Arabidopsis thaliana: one gene and its partners. The protein of the gene in region 3 interacts with the protein of the main gene of each other region in a pairwise test. Each region holds a gene or a part of one and is shown on either strand. Other genes may lie near its edges. The genes, in order: SIP4, KAI2 and J3.

The links.
Region 1: the proteins of J3 (region 3) and SIP4 interact in a two-hybrid assay, tested with the Arabidopsis thaliana proteins (one study listed by BioGRID).
Region 2: the proteins of J3 (region 3) and KAI2 interact in binary tests that used the Arabidopsis thaliana proteins (3 or more experiments, as listed by UniProt).

What each region holds. Positions count from the first base shown.
Region 1 is NC_003071.7:12,935,491-12,941,556, reverse strand, and holds SIP4 (SOS3-interacting protein 4), read left to right. Parts: upstream 1-2,722; 5' UTR 2,723-2,984; coding exon 2,985-4,292; 3' UTR 4,293-4,578; downstream 4,579-6,066. Other genes in the region: CHAL (allergen-like protein), read left to right, coding at 106-281, 735-980; AT2G30350 (Excinuclease ABC, C subunit, N-terminal), read left to right, coding at 5,815-5,954.
Region 2 is NC_003075.7:17,615,140-17,621,116, reverse strand, and holds KAI2 (alpha/beta-Hydrolases superfamily protein), read left to right. Parts: upstream 1-2,460; 5' UTR 2,461-2,753; coding exon 2,754-3,121; intron 3,122-3,627; coding exon 3,628-4,072; 3' UTR 4,073-4,458; downstream 4,459-5,977. Other genes in the region: AT4G37480 (Chaperone DnaJ-domain superfamily protein), read right to left, coding at 276-361, 522-1,400, 1,533-1,856; SRFR1 (Tetratricopeptide repeat (TPR)-like superfamily protein), read left to right, coding at 5,583-5,710, 5,820-5,929.
Region 3 is NC_003074.8:15,867,133-15,873,633, forward strand, and holds J3 (DNAJ homologue 3), read right to left. Parts: upstream 4,125-6,501; 5' UTR 3,928-4,124; coding exon 3,775-3,927; intron 3,514-3,774; coding exon 3,348-3,513; intron 3,268-3,347; coding exon 3,129-3,267; intron 2,979-3,128; coding exon 2,702-2,978; intron 2,604-2,701; coding exon 2,405-2,603; intron 2,312-2,404; coding exon 1,983-2,311; 3' UTR 1,499-1,982; downstream 1-1,498. Other genes in the region: AT3G44100 (MD-2-related lipid recognition domain-containing protein), read right to left, coding at 51-141. UniProt on the Arabidopsis thaliana protein: Plays a continuous role in plant development probably in the structural organization of compartments.

The DNA of each region.
Region 1 (6,066 bases), on a different chromosome or scaffold from region 3:
ATAAGCTTTTTTTTTTTTTTCCATAAATAATATAAGCTTATAATGCGGGGTTCTCTAAAAGGACTACACAAACAAAAGGGTTGTGGCTAAACTGCGCTTGAACAGTCAGCGACTGTGACGGCATGTCGAGACTGACTGGGCATGCAGAGATGCCATGTACTCCTAAAGAAATTCTCAGCCGTCGGATTGGTTTCAGCGCACACGAGGACAAGGACAGTACTCAACTTTTGGTTCGTTCACCACTCGTGGGACCCTGCCTTGCTTACGATCTCGATCGAGTGGTAATATTAGCCCCCACGGTGCACGTTAACGTATGACAGGCTCTTGGAACTTCTCAATCTCTCTGCCCTTTTTGGTAATGTGCGTAGCGCTTTTTCCGGAGCGGTTTTCCCGCGTCTTGTCTCACATCCCCAACCCTGTCTTAAAAATGTTTTTTACCTAAACTGCGCATTTTAACAATAATATGCGTATGTCAGCATGAAATCGCACGTTAGTAACGCAGTCCTCTCACTATCTTATGTTGATAGCAGCTGAAATTGAGTTCACTAGAAGATACTAATTATTGAACGTTAATTAGAAAATACTAATTATTCTTGATTAACCATATTGTTTGGTTTGTTTTACTAGATGTATTATCCTAATGAAGAAAATAATAAATTAGGATATGTATACGTTTGAATATATATTTAGTAATGAAAAATGTGATAATATGTACGTTTTGAGTATGTGTTCAGGAGGAAGGCAAGAGTACCGTAGTGATAAAGAAGACTAGGAAGATCGGTGACCGGAGCAAGGAGGCAGAGCTACGGAGGATTCTAAGGGGATTGGGCTCATCTCCACCACGGTGCTCCTCCAAGTGTGGAAGATGCACTCCGTGCAAGCCTGTTCACGTTCCGGTGCCTCCCGGCACGCCTGTCACCGCCGAATACTACCCGGAAGCTTGGAGATGCAAGTGCGGCAACAAGTTGTACATGCCATGATCTTTTATAATATATATACTCACATATATACATTATATATATGAATTATATGCATGTTCGTAGTTATATCTTGCCTCTACTCCAAATATTTATTATACATTGACATGTTGCTAGGACAACCTCAACGTGAAACTTTTGCTGATAAATTGATTGATGATGCTCGTATAGACGATATGACGTTCTTAGCATATGATTTCGTATATGGTGACATAATTCATGAATAATATCAACATTTGGTGTCAAAAGGAAACATATTTCTTGTCTTCTTCTTCAACGTACTTGCTTATAATGAACAAAAAATAAAAAAACGTACTCGCTTTCTAATAAGTATCACATAGGTTTAGGCTCATAAACATATGGACTAACATAAATAAACCAAAAGCCCAATAACATTACTCTTAGCATATACATATAAGTAAACTATTAACATCTGTCTGCGGGACTCGTTGATTTCATTTAAATTCTGTAGTCTCAGCTCGTTCAATTTAATCTATTCGTACACACTGATAATATTCAAGAAAACATATGCTAACGTATAACGTATTACGTATCCAAATACACCTTACACCACTCACACATAGCCCATATATAAAAGTTTGAAGGATTTAAAGTCGCAGACTCGCGGTCATTTTTTTTCTTTAAAGTCGCAGTCATTGACTGACTGATTCTTCTTTCTTATTGAAAGGTTTTTTATGTAAAGACGAAAGTTTAATCAGGATGTGAATATGGTACGGCCCATGTTCTTTATTCCTTTTTTTTTTTTTGGTGCAAAGTTCTTTCTTATTCTATGTTAGAAAAATAATCAAATTACCGACGCGAGCAAAGGTTATTATTTCCTGGCTATTAGTCTATAACTGATAAATAATTAGTCAATCAGATCAAACAATAGAGAAATAATTAGTCTGCAATCAGCGATTATTAAAAAATAAAATAAAATAGAAACATATCTCAGCACCGATTTTTCAACAGCCGGCCCACGATCCAGAACCGTCCAGCTTGAAGCCGGCGCCGCGTCGACTTGTTCCACCGTTCGGATATTGCCACGTGTGTGAGAGACACCTGCCATTACCTCGTGGAACATGTTTTGTTAGTATAAGTTACTAACCAAGTCGCTATCTTCAATTCTTCATTACCTAAGAGTTGAATAAAAAAACAACCATATACGATGAGACACGCAAATAACTGATATACGAAACAATTATTTATTGATGTACATTCTTCTAACTATAATACTACAAGATTCTGAATAGTTTTAGATGTAAAAAGTACGAGAAGAGTTATGATCAGAGTAAGTTAAGTGATAAGATCATGACACGTAGGCAGAGGAAATAAAGTAGAAACTATCGACAACATAATAATTGAGTGAGTACAAAAACCACGTAATAATTAGGTGTACACTGTAGTCTGTAGATCGATTGTACAAAATGAAAAAACTATATGATTTAAGGAACTAGATATACATATGCATCGACTCAAGAACAGTTGCTTTATGTGAAGACTATCAATTACATTATCGGCTAAATTTGGCTTCATGTGTTGAATAGATGGATTGTGTGCTCAGGTAGTTGTGTCAGTTAATTATAACAGTAAACCTTCACTGCTTCACATATATAAAATTTGGGTTAAAAAAACTTTAACATTTTATTTTTTTAATTGACAACAAACAAATTCTGTAACGGTTACATATAATAGTGCTTCAGTTAAACTCCTTTTTTAGGCAACTCTAATTCCTTTATACCCTTAATCCATTATTATTCTATCGAACTTATCTTTTTAAAAGCTTCCGCGTTACGCCATCACTTCTCCACCATTTAAATACCTAAACCACTTTCTTTCAAATTTCTTATTCCATAAAAAGTAAATTCACAACAAAACCAAAAAAAAAAAAAGAGAAGAAGAATTAGCTTACGTGTTCATCACATCTGCATTACGCGCAAACGAAACAGATTCAAATTCTCCGGCGAAGTTTTCTTATTCATCAATCAATCTCTGGATTCATCAATCATGCCAGAGATCGAGATTGCCGCCGGCAGCGGCGACAACAACGACGCCTTATTCGGTAAATATGAGCTCGGAAAGCTTCTCGGATGCGGCGCATTCGCCAAAGTCTTCCACGCACGTGATCGTCGTACCGGCCAAAGCGTCGCCGTGAAAATCCTCAACAAGAAAAAACTCCTCACAAATCCAGCTCTAGCCAACAACATCAAACGCGAGATCTCAATCATGAGAAGATTATCTCATCCAAACATCGTCAAGCTCCACGAAGTAATGGCGACAAAATCAAAGATCTTCTTCGCAATGGAGTTTGTTAAAGGAGGAGAACTATTCAACAAAATCTCAAAACATGGACGTCTTAGCGAAGATTTAAGCCGGAGATATTTCCAGCAACTGATCTCCGCCGTTGGTTATTGCCACGCTCGCGGTGTTTACCACCGCGATCTCAAACCAGAGAATCTATTAATAGACGAAAACGGAAACTTAAAAGTTTCCGATTTCGGTCTAAGCGCGTTAACGGATCAGATCCGACCCGATGGGTTGTTACATACCTTGTGTGGTACTCCGGCGTACGTTGCGCCGGAGATTCTATCTAAAAAAGGATATGAAGGTGCTAAAGTTGATGTATGGTCTTGTGGAATCGTCTTGTTCGTTCTCGTCGCCGGTTATTTACCGTTTAACGATCCGAATGTGATGAATATGTATAAGAAGATTTATAAAGGAGAGTATCGTTTTCCTCGTTGGATGTCTCCAGATCTGAAACGATTCGTTTCTCGTCTTTTAGATATTAATCCTGAGACTAGAATCACCATTGATGAGATTTTGAAAGATCCTTGGTTTGTTAGAGGAGGTTTTAAACAGATCAAGTTCCACGATGACGAGATCGAAGATCAGAAAGTGGAATCGTCACTAGAAGCTGTGAAGAGTTTAAACGCGTTTGATTTGATTTCTTACTCGTCGGGATTGGATTTGTCGGGATTGTTTGCTGGTTGTAGTAATTCGAGTGGTGAATCGGAGAGGTTTTTATCGGAAAAGTCGCCGGAGATGTTGGCGGAGGAAGTGGAGGGGTTTGCGAGAGAGGAGAATCTGAGGATGAAGAAGAAGAAGGAGGAAGAGTATGGGTTTGAGATGGAGGGGCAAAATGGGAAATTTGGTATCGGGATTTGTATTTCGCGGTTGAATGATTTGCTTGTGGTGGTGGAGGCACGGCGGAGAGGTGGTGATGGTGATTGTTATAAGGAGATGTGGAATGGTAAACTCAGGGTTCAACTTATTCGCGTTTGCGATCAGACGTCGTCAACAAACGCGGCTATTTAAAAGAACGCTATGAAGTTTTCTACCGTGCTTTCAATTTTAAAACGCCAATCGCGTTTCGTTGGTTGGATTTGGTTTCTACTACTTTTGTTTCGGAATTAAAAACAGAGAAAAAATAATAAAAATTAATGTATGTATTTAAATACTGTACCAAATTGTAGGTATCTATTTTGTGCTTTTTGATCAATGTGTTACTATGTACAACAACAAGTCTAAAATTGCATTTGTAGATACTTCACTCTTTTGTATAATGTAGAAAATGTTCTTCTATTTATAGTTTGGATTTTCCAATTTTACACATTTGTACATAACTACTTTTTAAAATCAACCATGCAAATTGTATTAAGTTAAAGTGCATGATAACCAAATCAGATTAATAACCAATGAATTGAAAATAAAAAGTAGATAAATTACTAAAATAAAATAATCTCTAAATCGCATAAACTCATCTAAACTCTCAAAAATCCATACATTACACATTTTTTTTTTTTTCAAAAAGGCTTTCAATTCTATACATTTTTCTGCTTATCAAATATGGCTTCTTCACTTTAATATTTATGTATAGAATTGAAAGCATTTTTGAAAGAAAAACTTTGTGTAATGTATTATTGAACAAATGAAATGATTGAAATGGGAGTTCCACATCCAGTGAAGAAAAAGCATTAAAAAGTATGTATAGAATCAGGGAACTTCAAAAATTGAAATCTGCAGCTTTATAAAAAGAAAAGCTATTATTGTCTACTTGATTGGATATTACAACTCAAAACGAGTGAAGGTTAAGGAATCATTATCATTATTAAAGCATCATCATAAGCACCAGCCTTTTGTTATTCTTCTCATCATTTGTTTGGCCAATTTAAAATTTTAATTAATATCATCTCACCATAGTTTCTGCCCACCTTTTGGTTTTAGGTGCAAATGGAAAAACTCTGGCAAATTAGGTTGTTTGGTGTGAATTAGGAAAGTAGAATGCTTATTGAATATTCTTGACTATATCTAAACTCTCTTTATTCACTTGGGTGATTTCCTCATAAAAATATTATTGTACCAAACTCTCTGAAATCAAAGTTTACTATATAGCTAAAATAAAAACCAAAAACTCTACTAAACCAAAGTTAAGAATAAATTCTTTATTAGAGACAAACTCAAAATTGAAAACCATCATTTATTGTATCTGAAAAGTAAAAAGAAAAAGAGGATATAATATGAGGAGAGATTATTTGAAAGCTGAAATTTTAGTTGCGGTAAAATTTGACATAAGTGAGCAAATTTTATAAGCTCTAAAATCAATAGGAGACCTATCACGGTATCACTATCATGATGGGTAACAATGTCATGTGAACCAAGTAAAACAAAATACAGTATAGGAAATGAATTATAAAAAATTGGGCCATTATAAAATTGGGTCATTGAATACAGTGGGCCTTAATCATACATTTCGGCCCATTCTCATCCTTAAGAGATAAAACGGATTTTTTAGTGTAATAATCTGTCGTCTTCAACGGTCGAATTGAATCCAAGAGATATGAGAGAGAAAAGGGGAAATCGGAAAGCCCTAGATCCCGTCGGTGAGGATGGAGTCACCGGAAAAGATGGAAAAGGCTTCTTCGCCTGTTATCTCTTGACCTCTCTTAGCCCTCGTCATAAGGGTCAAACCTATATCGGGTACTTGTTTCTCTCATCTCTGATTTTGGAATTGAAGATTCTGTTGGATCAAATTCGATTGAGAAAGGATTTACATTTTCTGGGTTTATCTGATTGAATACTTAAATTTGAT
Region 2 (5,977 bases), on a different chromosome or scaffold from region 3:
TTCAAATCCATGCAATTATGGTTTCATGTCACTGAGGTAAGAAAGATGAAGGCTACGTTAGGGATCAGTATCATAAGTTCAGCATTCCAACAAAGATCACTGACTACTTCAGCATTTCAACAAAGGAAACTACAGAATTCTGTGTTCCAGATATCAATTTATTGAATTGCATTCTAACGAAGATGAAAACAGTGAAAAGGCTGTCCAATCTTGTTATTTTATCGAGTTAAAGGTGAGCCAGAACTAAAATAAAACAAAAATAATATTTGGCTTACTTGCTTGGTGGTAACTTCGCTCTACTGCATCTACATTCACAAATGGAAACCTTTTCCCCAATTTTGTACCAGTGCAAATGTCTCACCTGTAGAGTGTGGATGAAGAATTTTCATACATGCCTATTCCATCAAATAACTAGCGGATCATATCTCTATATGCATCACAGAACAATTCCCCGAAAAAGTACACGTTGTAATTTGCGAAAGGTACATAAAAAGAAATGCTAGATCATATAAGTCACAAACCAGAAATGTCCTATGTTTCATTATCACATGAGTCTTAGCACCATTCCCATCATAGACATAACATGAACCTTCATCTGGGATTGTCCCAAGACCACTTATAGTTCCAACAAGAAGTCTGGCACCACTTTCATTTCCCGGAGGCGATTCAGTGCCATGATTAGATCCTTCATCTGAATTGAGGAAAACGTGTATAAGATCGTGATCACCCTCAATTTGTTTCTTTTCATGATACCCTTTTGGGGGAACCCTAATGGCTGTAGCAACAACTCTTCCAGATACATGCAGCTGAATATCTTTATACGCATCAGAAACATGGTTTTTACTTCTTGAAGATTGTATATGAGATATCTGAAGACCAATCCTTTCAGCAGACATCATGTCATTGTTGCCTTTCTCAACTGCTTGACCAAGGTCCGAATCCATAAACGACGACAAAGCCAATTTCTTTGAGCAAGCAGAAGAAAGCTCAAGGAAGTTATCAACCAAGGAAACCATACCAAAAAGATCCCGTCCTGATACCAAATGCAAAACCTCTCGTGTATCATACACAGACCTTTCCTCAGCTTCAAAACAATCAGGAAGAAGCTCAACAGATTCAACATCAGGCCCAAAGTAGGCCGCTCGTATAGCTGAATAAAAATCTTCTTCAAGTTCATCTAAGTAACCAGTACCATTTGCTACTCTCTTCTCCAATACTATATCATGTATTGCTTCTCTATACCACTTTAACCATTCAACTACTTCCATCTCTTGACTCAATGTCAATCCTGTTTTATACCTGTGAATCATATAACCTTGTCCCGAGTGCTTCTTCATTACCATTCTCCGAGATAGCAAATATCTATCATAGTGTGCTCTCTTTTCAGAATCTGATAGAATCTGTATCATCACCACAAATCATTCATCAGACACTTCTAAAGCTATAACTCTATCACAAAAGCTTGAAAAGCTTGAAATTTTCGATTTTGAAACTAATCATAAGAGTGAAGAGTGAAGCTTTCTTCATTGTACCTCATAAGCAGCGAGAATCTGAACGAATCGTCTCGAATTTGATGGATCTTTCTTGGATTCGATCAGATCAGGATGAGTCTCCTTGGCGAGTCTGCGAAATGATGCTTTGATCTCTGCGATTGAGCTGGTTTCGGAGACATTCAAGATATCGTAAGCGTTCTCCACCGGAAACTCGTTCCGATTGGACTCAGCCTCGCCGCTCAGCAACCGAGTTCTTCCTTGACTCGGGTTAAAGAGAATTCGCGACGGTTCGAAACCGTAATTCAGTTGAACCGGAACTAATCTACTAAAACGCCGGCGTATCAACCCGGCGAGAATCGTCATTTCACGACCAGTATGGTTTACTCAGGTGGGAACGGAGACCGGAAGTGGAAAGAGGATAACGGCACGCCGATGACACGTGGGTCTCTCGATTTCACGCCACGTCATCACGAGTTCAGACTTTATTGGTCAACAGTAAAAACGGTCTTAGGAAAGAGAGAACATGAAGCCATATTACACTAAATGGGCCTTGAATTTTAATGGGCCAGGATCCTCTCACAGATATTTTTGACTCTTAAAATGATGAGGAAGTGGATGTGAATACGTGGTCGTATACTCACCATGGCATTCCATGAATAATTAATGTCTTCTAACTTCTAAATGATCGAAAAGTACTGACAAGTTAAAGTCAAGCAGAAAAAAACAAATATTATGAGGTTTTTAGATGCTATATTCATTGCAAGTTGTATACATGCGAAATTTAACTAGTGTTGTTAAAATAATAATTATATCAGCTTTTGACTATTTGCTGCCACTCTTTGAATGATTGAAACTAATTTTCTTTCGCATTAATGCATTGTTGAAATTCATGCACAAAATTAAAAATAATTGGTTCATGTATTTGTAACCCAATGTAACAATTTTATTGTTGAACAGAAGTCAGTAACTCCACGTCATGTACTCCATTAAATGTTCCAAAATATTTTGGGCTTGATTCCAAAAAACAAATTATCACGAATAGCGATGTTTGACAATCCAACAAACATGGTTCCATTCACCTTTTTTTGCCACCTGTAAATCGCGATATTTTAAATAATTTATTTCCTCTTCCACAGATACGAATTTTTTTATAAAGAATAATACGTAACACTCTAAAACAACACAAATATCATAATTTCTCCACGAACTGACTAAGAGAGGTACCAAGAAGAAAACCAGAGAAGAATCTTCTTTAGAGAGATGGGTGTGGTAGAAGAAGCTCACAACGTGAAGGTGATTGGTTCAGGAGAAGCCACGATCGTGTTAGGTCACGGGTTCGGCACGGACCAGTCAGTATGGAAACACTTGGTTCCACATCTGGTCGACGATTACCGCGTCGTCCTCTACGACAACATGGGAGCCGGTACGACCAACCCTGACTATTTCGACTTCGATCGTTACTCAAATCTCGAAGGCTACTCTTTCGATTTGATTGCAATCTTGGAAGATCTCAAGATTGAGTCTTGTATCTTTGTTGGCCACTCTGTTTCTGCCATGATTGGTGTCTTGGCTTCTCTTAACCGTCCTGATCTCTTCTCCAAAATCGTCATGATCTCTGCTTCTCCGAGGTATAACTTTTTCACAAGTTGTACATAGAAATATGTTTTGCTTTTTATCTCATCCTGACATAGTTTAGACAAAAGGGCTTCTCTGTTCCTTCTCTTGTCTGATTTCATAAAAACTATTAAACATTACAATTTAAATAAAAAAAAATCATCTTAAGTCCTTAAATTTACACAATTATCTATTATTTCGAAATATTTATTTCTCATTCTGACATAATTTCGACAAAGTGCCTCTTTGTTTATCCTCTTGTCTGAATTATCCTATTTCTCAAAATCAGTGAAGCATTTCATTATATATTTCAATAAAAATCCGTAAATTATGAACAAAAAATCATGAAATACCCATTTGTTTATTTGTTTTTTTTTATTTGGTTTTACTGAGGTGTTACTTACACTTTTTTTAAAAAAAATTGTTGAAACGGTGCTCACACAGTATATTATATATTTTAATTTTCTTCTGACAAAAGAAACATATATAATCAAATTATATTGTTTTGGTACGTTTATAGATACGTAAACGATGTTGATTACCAAGGTGGATTCGAACAAGAAGACTTAAACCAACTATTCGAAGCCATCCGAAGCAACTACAAAGCGTGGTGCTTAGGTTTCGCTCCACTCGCCGTCGGTGGCGACATGGACTCCATCGCCGTTCAAGAATTCAGCAGAACACTCTTCAATATGCGTCCCGACATAGCTCTCTCCGTCGGCCAGACCATTTTCCAAAGTGACATGAGACAGATCTTACCTTTTGTCACTGTTCCGTGTCACATTCTCCAAAGTGTTAAGGACTTAGCTGTACCAGTCGTTGTCTCCGAGTATCTTCACGCCAATCTTGGCTGTGAATCCGTCGTCGAGGTTATTCCTTCTGATGGTCATCTTCCTCAGCTTAGCTCACCAGATTCTGTTATTCCTGTCATCCTCCGTCACATTCGTAATGACATTGCTATGTGATTGTAAGAGATTTAATTAGTTAATTATTAAACGATGTAAGAAAAGTTGAAAAAAAATATCTGATGTGATATGTCTGTCTAGTCTATTGAGAACATTATTTCGTTGTCGTTTGGTTCTGATTCGTTTATCTTGAGTATCTTGATCTTTGTTGTTCTTATCTTGTTTAACGAAAAGTCTCTGTCTTTTGTCCACAGCTTTGCTCAGAGCTCATTATTGCTTGATGTAATAGTGATGTTCGTAATTGATGGTCCATAGTGAATTATTGCAACTTTGCAAGAGTGCTTGTGCTATACTGTGTGAAGAGTAATTAACATGTGATACTAGGAATTAGCATTGAGTTTGCATTTATGGATGGGTAATCCAAACCATAAAACATACATATTGTGATGGTTTTGAAATTTGTTTGTTTGTGAACAAAAATTAGCCAAGTTTTAAACAAAGTAAAATGAAAATTTAGGGTTTTGAATTAGGATGGAGTTAAGTCATATTTTGTTAGGTTTGTTTGCTTATGAAATTATGGATTTGTTTGATGTTATTATAGGGATGCGGTGCAAAAGATATTGTTTTCTATATTATCATTTATCACTAATAACTTTCAAATTTTATTGACGCGCCTGCTCAGATTTTATTCGATTTGTTGTTTATGAAATTAGTTATAGATTGGTAAGTAAATAGCTTTAAAAAATTAGTGATACAAAACAAAATGGTAAATATTGTATTGCTTCTTACTAGTCAATACTATGATTAAACTTCCATTTTATAATTCACTTTATATAAAACTTCTATTTATTTTCTTAAAATTATTTTATTATTGAAATTTAAATATCATTTGGTACAATATTATTTCTTCATCACTAGTCAAATACTATGATTAGCCTACCCAAAAAAAAAGTCAAATACTATGATTAAACTTCCATTTTTTTAAAATTCATTGCAGGTCATACAATTTAAATGTTTACATAGTCATGAAAGAATTGAGAACATATATATACTTCAAATTTGTTCTCCAATACAGTCACACACCTAACTTCAATTTGCTTAGAATTTCTTTGGCAAGACGATTAACAGAGCTAGCCCATTGTAAAAGGGTAATAAATAATAAGTGGGCTAGGCCCATATATACACAACAAAAAGTCACGTGACAAGAAACTTCATACGTGTGCGACTCTTGCCCCAAAATTTGATTAGCACCACTTATTGAGAAGCAGCAGCAGCACCACAAGCACCACCACCAGTATCACATTCACATTCACCATCATCGTCTCTTCGCTCTTATCTCTCCGTTACTTTTTTATTTACTATCTCTCTCTTCCCCGTTACTTTTTTTTCTTCCCCGTTTCGTTCTCCGTCAAAGTCTTCTCTCTTTACCATTTTCTCCACTGTACTAATTTCCCTTTTTACCCCTAAACCCATCGTTCCCGTGACACGACGGCCACGAAGAAGAGGGATAAAATTGAGAAAGATTAAATAGGCGATTGATTTCTCCATCGGAGACACCACCGCTCAAAAAATGGCGACGGCGACGGCGACATCGGAACGATTCGAGTTAGCCAAGCACTGCAGTTCACGGAACTGGTCTAAAGCGATCCGAGTTCTCGATTCGCTCCTTGCTAAGGAGTCTTCAATTTTGGATATATGGTTTGGTTTCGAGATCTTTGTTCTCTCATTCAATTTCTCCGGATCGGTATCAATGATTTTTCTCCCGTTAATCTCAGTATTTTTTTTTGAATTGGGAATTTGGTTTCAGCAATAGAGCGTTTTGTTATAATCAATTGGAGCTTCACAAGCATGTGATTAAGGACTGTGACAAGGCACTTCTGCTTGAACCTTTTGCCATTCAAGCTTTTATTCTCAAAGGTTAGTTCACTTCCAAGCTTTGACTTGAGTGCTTCATAGTTTCTCTGG
Region 3 (6,501 bases):
ACCCCTAATCTGAGAGAGGAAGAAGAAGAGAGTAGTAGTAAGGAACAAACCGCAGTAGGTGAAAGAAGTGGCGTGCAAAGCAGGTAAGAAGAAGACTGATAAGAGGAGAAGAAGCAGAGGCTGAGCTTGAGAAATCGCCATTGATGAGTGATTGAGAGAATTTGGTGAAGATGGAAGAGTTTTGGGTAGTTTTGAGTCTTTTGACAAAGAAATGGAATCCAACGGTCTCTGAACACATCTAACAATCTAACGGTTCTAGATTTTTTTACAGAGAAAATGTTTTTTATTTAGTCGTTTTGACTTATTGGGAATTGATTTATTTATTTATTAGAATTAGGTGCACGTGTCTCATCACTAAACTAGCTGTAGCTGCTTCCAGCACCAGGGCTCCATGTTGCTTCTCTATCTCTATTCGTTCTAAATTACATGATGTTTTTTTCAAACGAAAACCAGAAAAGACTCTGACTACGCGGCATTAACCAGTCCACCACATCAGTTGTGTGGCTATGGTTCTATGGGCTTAAGCCCATTTGACCTACGGAAGTTTCGCAAGGTAATATGTTATCTATTCAGTTTCAGTTTGAAACCATTGGATTATCGGGGTTTTTTTCTAAAGTTTAATATCTATTCGATTATTTTGAAATTTTGGTTCGGTTACAGTTTAATTTTGATTCTTTCGGTTTTAAATTTAATATACATTCGACTATTTAATTTTGAATATTTTCAGATATTTTGATTATTTTTGAATATTTTAGATATTTTTGGTTATTTTAGATATATCGGATATTTTTTATTATTTTTAATATTTTTACTATTATATATATTTTTAAATATTTTTAATTATTTAGTTTAGAAATAACTAATAGTTATAAAAAATATTTTTATTTCTGTTATTTTCGATTACCCAAAATATTTTGATTCGGTATCGATTTAGTTCGGTTCTTTTGATTATAAAATTTAGTATTAATTCGGTTATTTTATTTTCTAATTTTTGGTTTGGTTTGGTACAATTTTTTTGCTAATTTTAAAACTAATTTTATATAAAATTTTTGTTCAAGCTACAATTACAACTCTTTTTAAAATACAACTGGTATGATCTCTATTGTACTCACATAACTATTTGCGTATTTGATCCGTCATAGTTGATTTTATAAAATCTTTTATTTGAGAAAGCATTGCTAAGATTTGTGTAAAGAGAAATTGGATTAAACTTTCATGTTTATGTTTACGTTTACATTCACGTTAATTTCGTAAATATACAGTCACAAGATATTGCCAAAAAATAAATTAAAGAAGTCAAAGAAAAATAAAAAGCTGACATAATTATATATGCAAACAACAAAGCATATAGAAAATTAAATTAAGAAACATTTTTAAAAAATATAATATTATATTTTACGTAAATATTTCTATAAATTAATATTTTATTAACTTATAAGATAAATTAATAAATATTAGTTTATAAAATAAATTAATATCACTATAAATTAATAAAATTGCGTCGTCCGAACATTATTAATACATTTTTTACTAATTTATAGAGTTTTTACTAATTTATAGAGTTTTTACTGTAGTTCGTACGTACATGTCATCGGAGTTAACACCCAAAACATGGTGACATATACAACAAAAAGGATAAATATGAACATCTTAGACTATATAGCAGCATTTGTTCTGCATGAACACAAAAATTATTGAATTTTAAATCCATATCAATATAGAAAACACACAGTATATATGTTCTTAGACATTAAATTACTACAAATTTAATCATAAAGAAAAAACACAAAATTGTAATAAGGCCTTAATTTTTAAAGTCAGAGGAAAAAGAGAAAACAAGTTTCGATGTTCCACCGAAGTGGGCAAATTCTTAAACCGTACCAAACTCCCATAAAGACTCCAATACACTTAGAATGAAAAAGCAAGAGACAAATTGGTTGGAGCCCAAACCCATGTGGGTCAAAGTCTCTCTAAGGAGTTACTTACTGCTGGGCACATTGCACCCTTTGAGCACCACCCGGATGGTCATCATCTTCATCGTCATCATCATAAGCCTCTCTTTGAGCTTGTGCCTTCCTCCTCATCTCATCCTCAATGTTGACATCGTGGAGCGTGGTCTCCTCGCATTCATCTATCTCCATGTCACTCAACTGAGCTGTTGACGGCTTAGGTAGAACAGCTTCCAGTGCTTTGGTCTGATCTGGGCTCAACGAGTCCGGGAACTCCACTGTGAAGTGGATGTAGAGCTTACCCTTCATGAATGGCCTCTGGTATATCGGCATTCCTTCATCGCTTATTGCCTTGTATGAATCTGTCAAACACATAAGATAAGTGATCATGTTTCAATCAGAGACAGTTATAGTAACTGTAAAATCTGAGTATGACGATGCATCTGAATACGTACCAGGTTTCACGACCTCCCCAGGATTAGATTTAATGAGAAGACTTCTGCCATCCAAGTGAGTCAGAACAAATTGGAAGCCACACAAAGCTTCGGTTAGAGAAAGTGTGTGCTCCACAAAGAGGTCTTCTCCCTTTCTCTTGAACTTTGGGTGCTCTTTCTGCTGAAGGACAAACACTATATCTCCAGTGACAGTGTCAGGCTGCACCAACACAAAAACATAAAACAAAAGGTTAGTCTCCAGAAGAAAAGTAAACATACTAGTAATCAAAGCTGGAGTAAATGTATGAGAGTAGATACCGCTTCATCTGCTTGTCCTTCAAATGTGATCTTCTGACTGTGTTGCATTCCCTTCTCCACATTCACTTCAAGCACCTTCTTCTCAGGAATGACCTTGTCTCCTTTGCATTGTGGACACCTGTCCCGATCATTGATGGTCTCACCTGTCCCTTTGCATTCATTACATGCATGCTGCATCTGCTGGATCATTCCAGGTCCAAGCTGCCTAATAGACACCTTCATACCAGATCCCTGACACCCTCCACATTTCAAGGAGGCTCCAGATTTTGATCCCTTTCTGCAATCACAAATTCAGAACCTTTTAACCAACTGGGGTCACAAATTGAGATAAAGGGTTTCTGTCAAAACTTAAGCTAATTCATATTATTATGAACCTAGGACACATATAGCTACACCAAAAACGCAAGATCGAGTCGAATGTACTAACCCGTTACACTTAGAGCAGAGAGCATTCCTAGAAAGTGAAAGCTTCTTCATTGTACCAAGGTACACATCCTCAAGAGATACCTTCAAGGGATGAACAACATCCTCACCACGCCTCTGCCTCCTTTGCCGGCTGGTATTACCTATTCAAAAACAGAAACATATTCAAACGAAAATTCTCAATTGCGATATCATAAAGTGTACAGTGTCCAAGGAGACTCACCTCCAAAGGGGCCTCCACCAAAGAAGGATGAGAAAATATCAAATGGATCATGTCCACCTCCTCCACCACCCATTCCTTCCTTGAGTGCATCCTCTCCATACTGGTCATAAATCTCACGCTTCTCCGGGTCACTAAGCACTTCATAAGCTTGTGCTAACTCCTTAAACTGCAATCAACACATAACACAACAAATCAAACTCATAACCTAACAAAGAACCAAACTTTAACCACTCAATTATCAAAGCAAGACACATCTATATCATCAAAACCCTAATTTTTGATTAATCGCCAAAACTCAAACTTTTTTATCAGATCGGATCAAAATTCAACATTAAGAAACTAACAAGACAACAAATCAATCGAAAAAAAAAACACAATCAAACAATCGAATTCGAGAGAATCTAAGCGGATCTAAGAAATTATTCACCTTCTCGGGATCTCCACCCTTATCAGGATGATTCTTGATAGCGGCTTTTTTGTAAGCTTTCTTGAGATCTTCTGGTGAAGCGCTCTTAGGAACACCTAAGATCTCGTAGAACTTAGTGTTGTCGCTCTTCTTCGAGGGTCCTCTACCGAACATCTTTTCGCCGTTGTAACGAAAACCCTAGAGAGATTGGAAGGAGATAGAGAAAGAGAGAGAGAAAAGTGTCTCTCTTTCGATGTTTGGGTTGGTTGATGTGGCTGCCGTTTCTCTGAGAGGACTTCTCTCTTATGAAGAGGCTAAATTGCGTTTGCTTTTGTTTGAGGTTTTGTGGAGTTTGGAACTCTCTAGAATGTTTTATTACTTTCTTTTTTCCTTTTTTTCTCTTAAAAACATTATTACTATATTTGATATTTCCAACATGTAGAGATAAATTATTATTTTTTTGAATACAAAAGAGGAAAATTATATTATTTGGGTAGACAGAAAAGTATATTGTAGATGTTTGTTGTACAACAACGACTACTAAGATTATATTGACTTGTTTGACAAAAAAAAGATTATATTGACTTTTTTTTTATGACGATTTTTTTCAAAAAAATTTGTTTTGTTTTGTTACAATATTAAGTAAATAAATTTTTATACGAGCAACATAATAACAAATTATAAAACTACATGAGTTTTATGTAACTCACGTTACTTTTTATAAAACTCACATAAGTTTTTTATGTAAAAGAAAAAAAAATTGTGTTATTCTTCTCAACATAACTAAAAAATTTTACAATCGATTCACAAAAAAAAACTAATTATTAGAGTTTTGTTAAAGAGCGTAAAAAAATATTTTTTCATTTGATAATTTAGAAAAATATATTTCGTGAAAGAAATTTAATTTTGTTATTTTTTTGTTTGGTTTTTTATCTTTGTATATTTGTTTTTAGAGTCACTGACAATTGTCGGTTCGTCGGCGACTCTTTTTTTCTTTTTTTTCTTAATTCTCTTCTAAAGTAAATAATTTGTATTGTCGGAGTTACAACTGTAAAAGGTGACACTAGCGATTGAACTTTGATTTTTATAGATTTTATTATCCGCTTACTCGATCGCTCACCATCACACTTCTCTCTAACTATCAAGATGAGGTTCTGGATTCCCAAGTTTTGTTACGATTTTCTATCGATTCTATCTTCACTACTAACGCGATCGATCAAAGTGCTCTCCATCGTGTGTCCCTTGGTCGCCGATCTTCTTTATCGTTCTCACAAACTCTATCTCCATCAATTGGTTTTGTCTCTAAAGAACACATTCGTGGTTATAGCAATTTGTTGGTTGAAAACGATGACGGTTTCTTTCTCTTCATCTTTAGAGAGCGTCATATTGGTAAGTAATTTGATCATCACTGATTTTACCATCTTCTCTGGGATTTATAATAAGGATTACTCAGGTCCGAATGTTTTCTTCACCATCCCTTCAATTGATTGGTGTTATCTTGAAAACATTTTGAAGTTCCTCAACCCAAAATTGTTTGGTGTCATCACTACTGACATTTCATCTTTCTTTTACTTATAGAAGAAAATCAAATTGAGATATTGTTTGATACTTATTTCGGATTTTTTGAAGATTTGGGAAACTCTCTAGTTGAGGATTGTGTGGCTCTAAAAACCAAGACACATAAAAGTAGGAGTTATATGATCCAGATAGATTTGTTGGAAGAGATACACATGGATGTTGGGGATACATGCTATCATTGGATGATGTGGAGAACAATGTGATATATATATAATTGCAATCAGAAGATGGCTCATACTATACTGAGACGTCATAATTTATTCTCGGGATATAATGGTGAGAGAAAACAAAGTCAAAGATAGTTAAAGTGATTATGATACGGAAGTTTTGGTATCATAATGTTGATATTTCATAACTGTTATCAGAAGCATATGGTTTTAAATACGGTATGCGATATGGAAGTTTAAGCAAGAAATGCTATCCAGAAACATAATTTGCATAAGCGTAAGATCAAATACGAAAAAAATAGATTTAATAATCTGTTAACGAGTAAGACTTATATGTCAAAAGCATCGTCAATCACTATAGTTTGTGTATTTTTCTCATTTTATGGTGCTTACGTTATAATTTTCGTTCGATGTTTTGTACAATGACTTTATAGTCTTGATTTGATATTAACGAAGGTAAAAATAAAAATAAAAATTATCTTTGTTTTATGCTAAATATTTTATTTCATAAAAGAAGTTTAAAATATATATATTTTTTTTTATAATATTTTGTTTTGCAAAAAAAAAAATTTACATAAAATAATATTATTTTGTGAATAATAGTTTCTTGTTAACATGCAAGTAGGTTGGTAAATAAGATGACATGATAATCTATACTATTAATTGGAAACATTTTGTGAAATACAACCTCATGAGAGTAGTTTAAGACTAAGTAAATGATTGTTTGCATGGGTAATTAGGTAATTAACAACTAGTACAACTAGATAACGGACAATTCCTTCTGACCCTTATTAGATCCACGACATACGAAAATTCTTTCTCATTTTCCATGCGCTTGATGAAAATCTTCAATATCTTCTCTGCGTAAAATCCTGGCGAACGGCTATAATTGTACATCGTTGTAGATCTCCTACACACTTGCCTCGATTAATATGCAAATCTGTTAATAAATCGGAGTAACTGGGATTCGAACCCCAGACCTCTCGGTGTAGAAGTATTAATG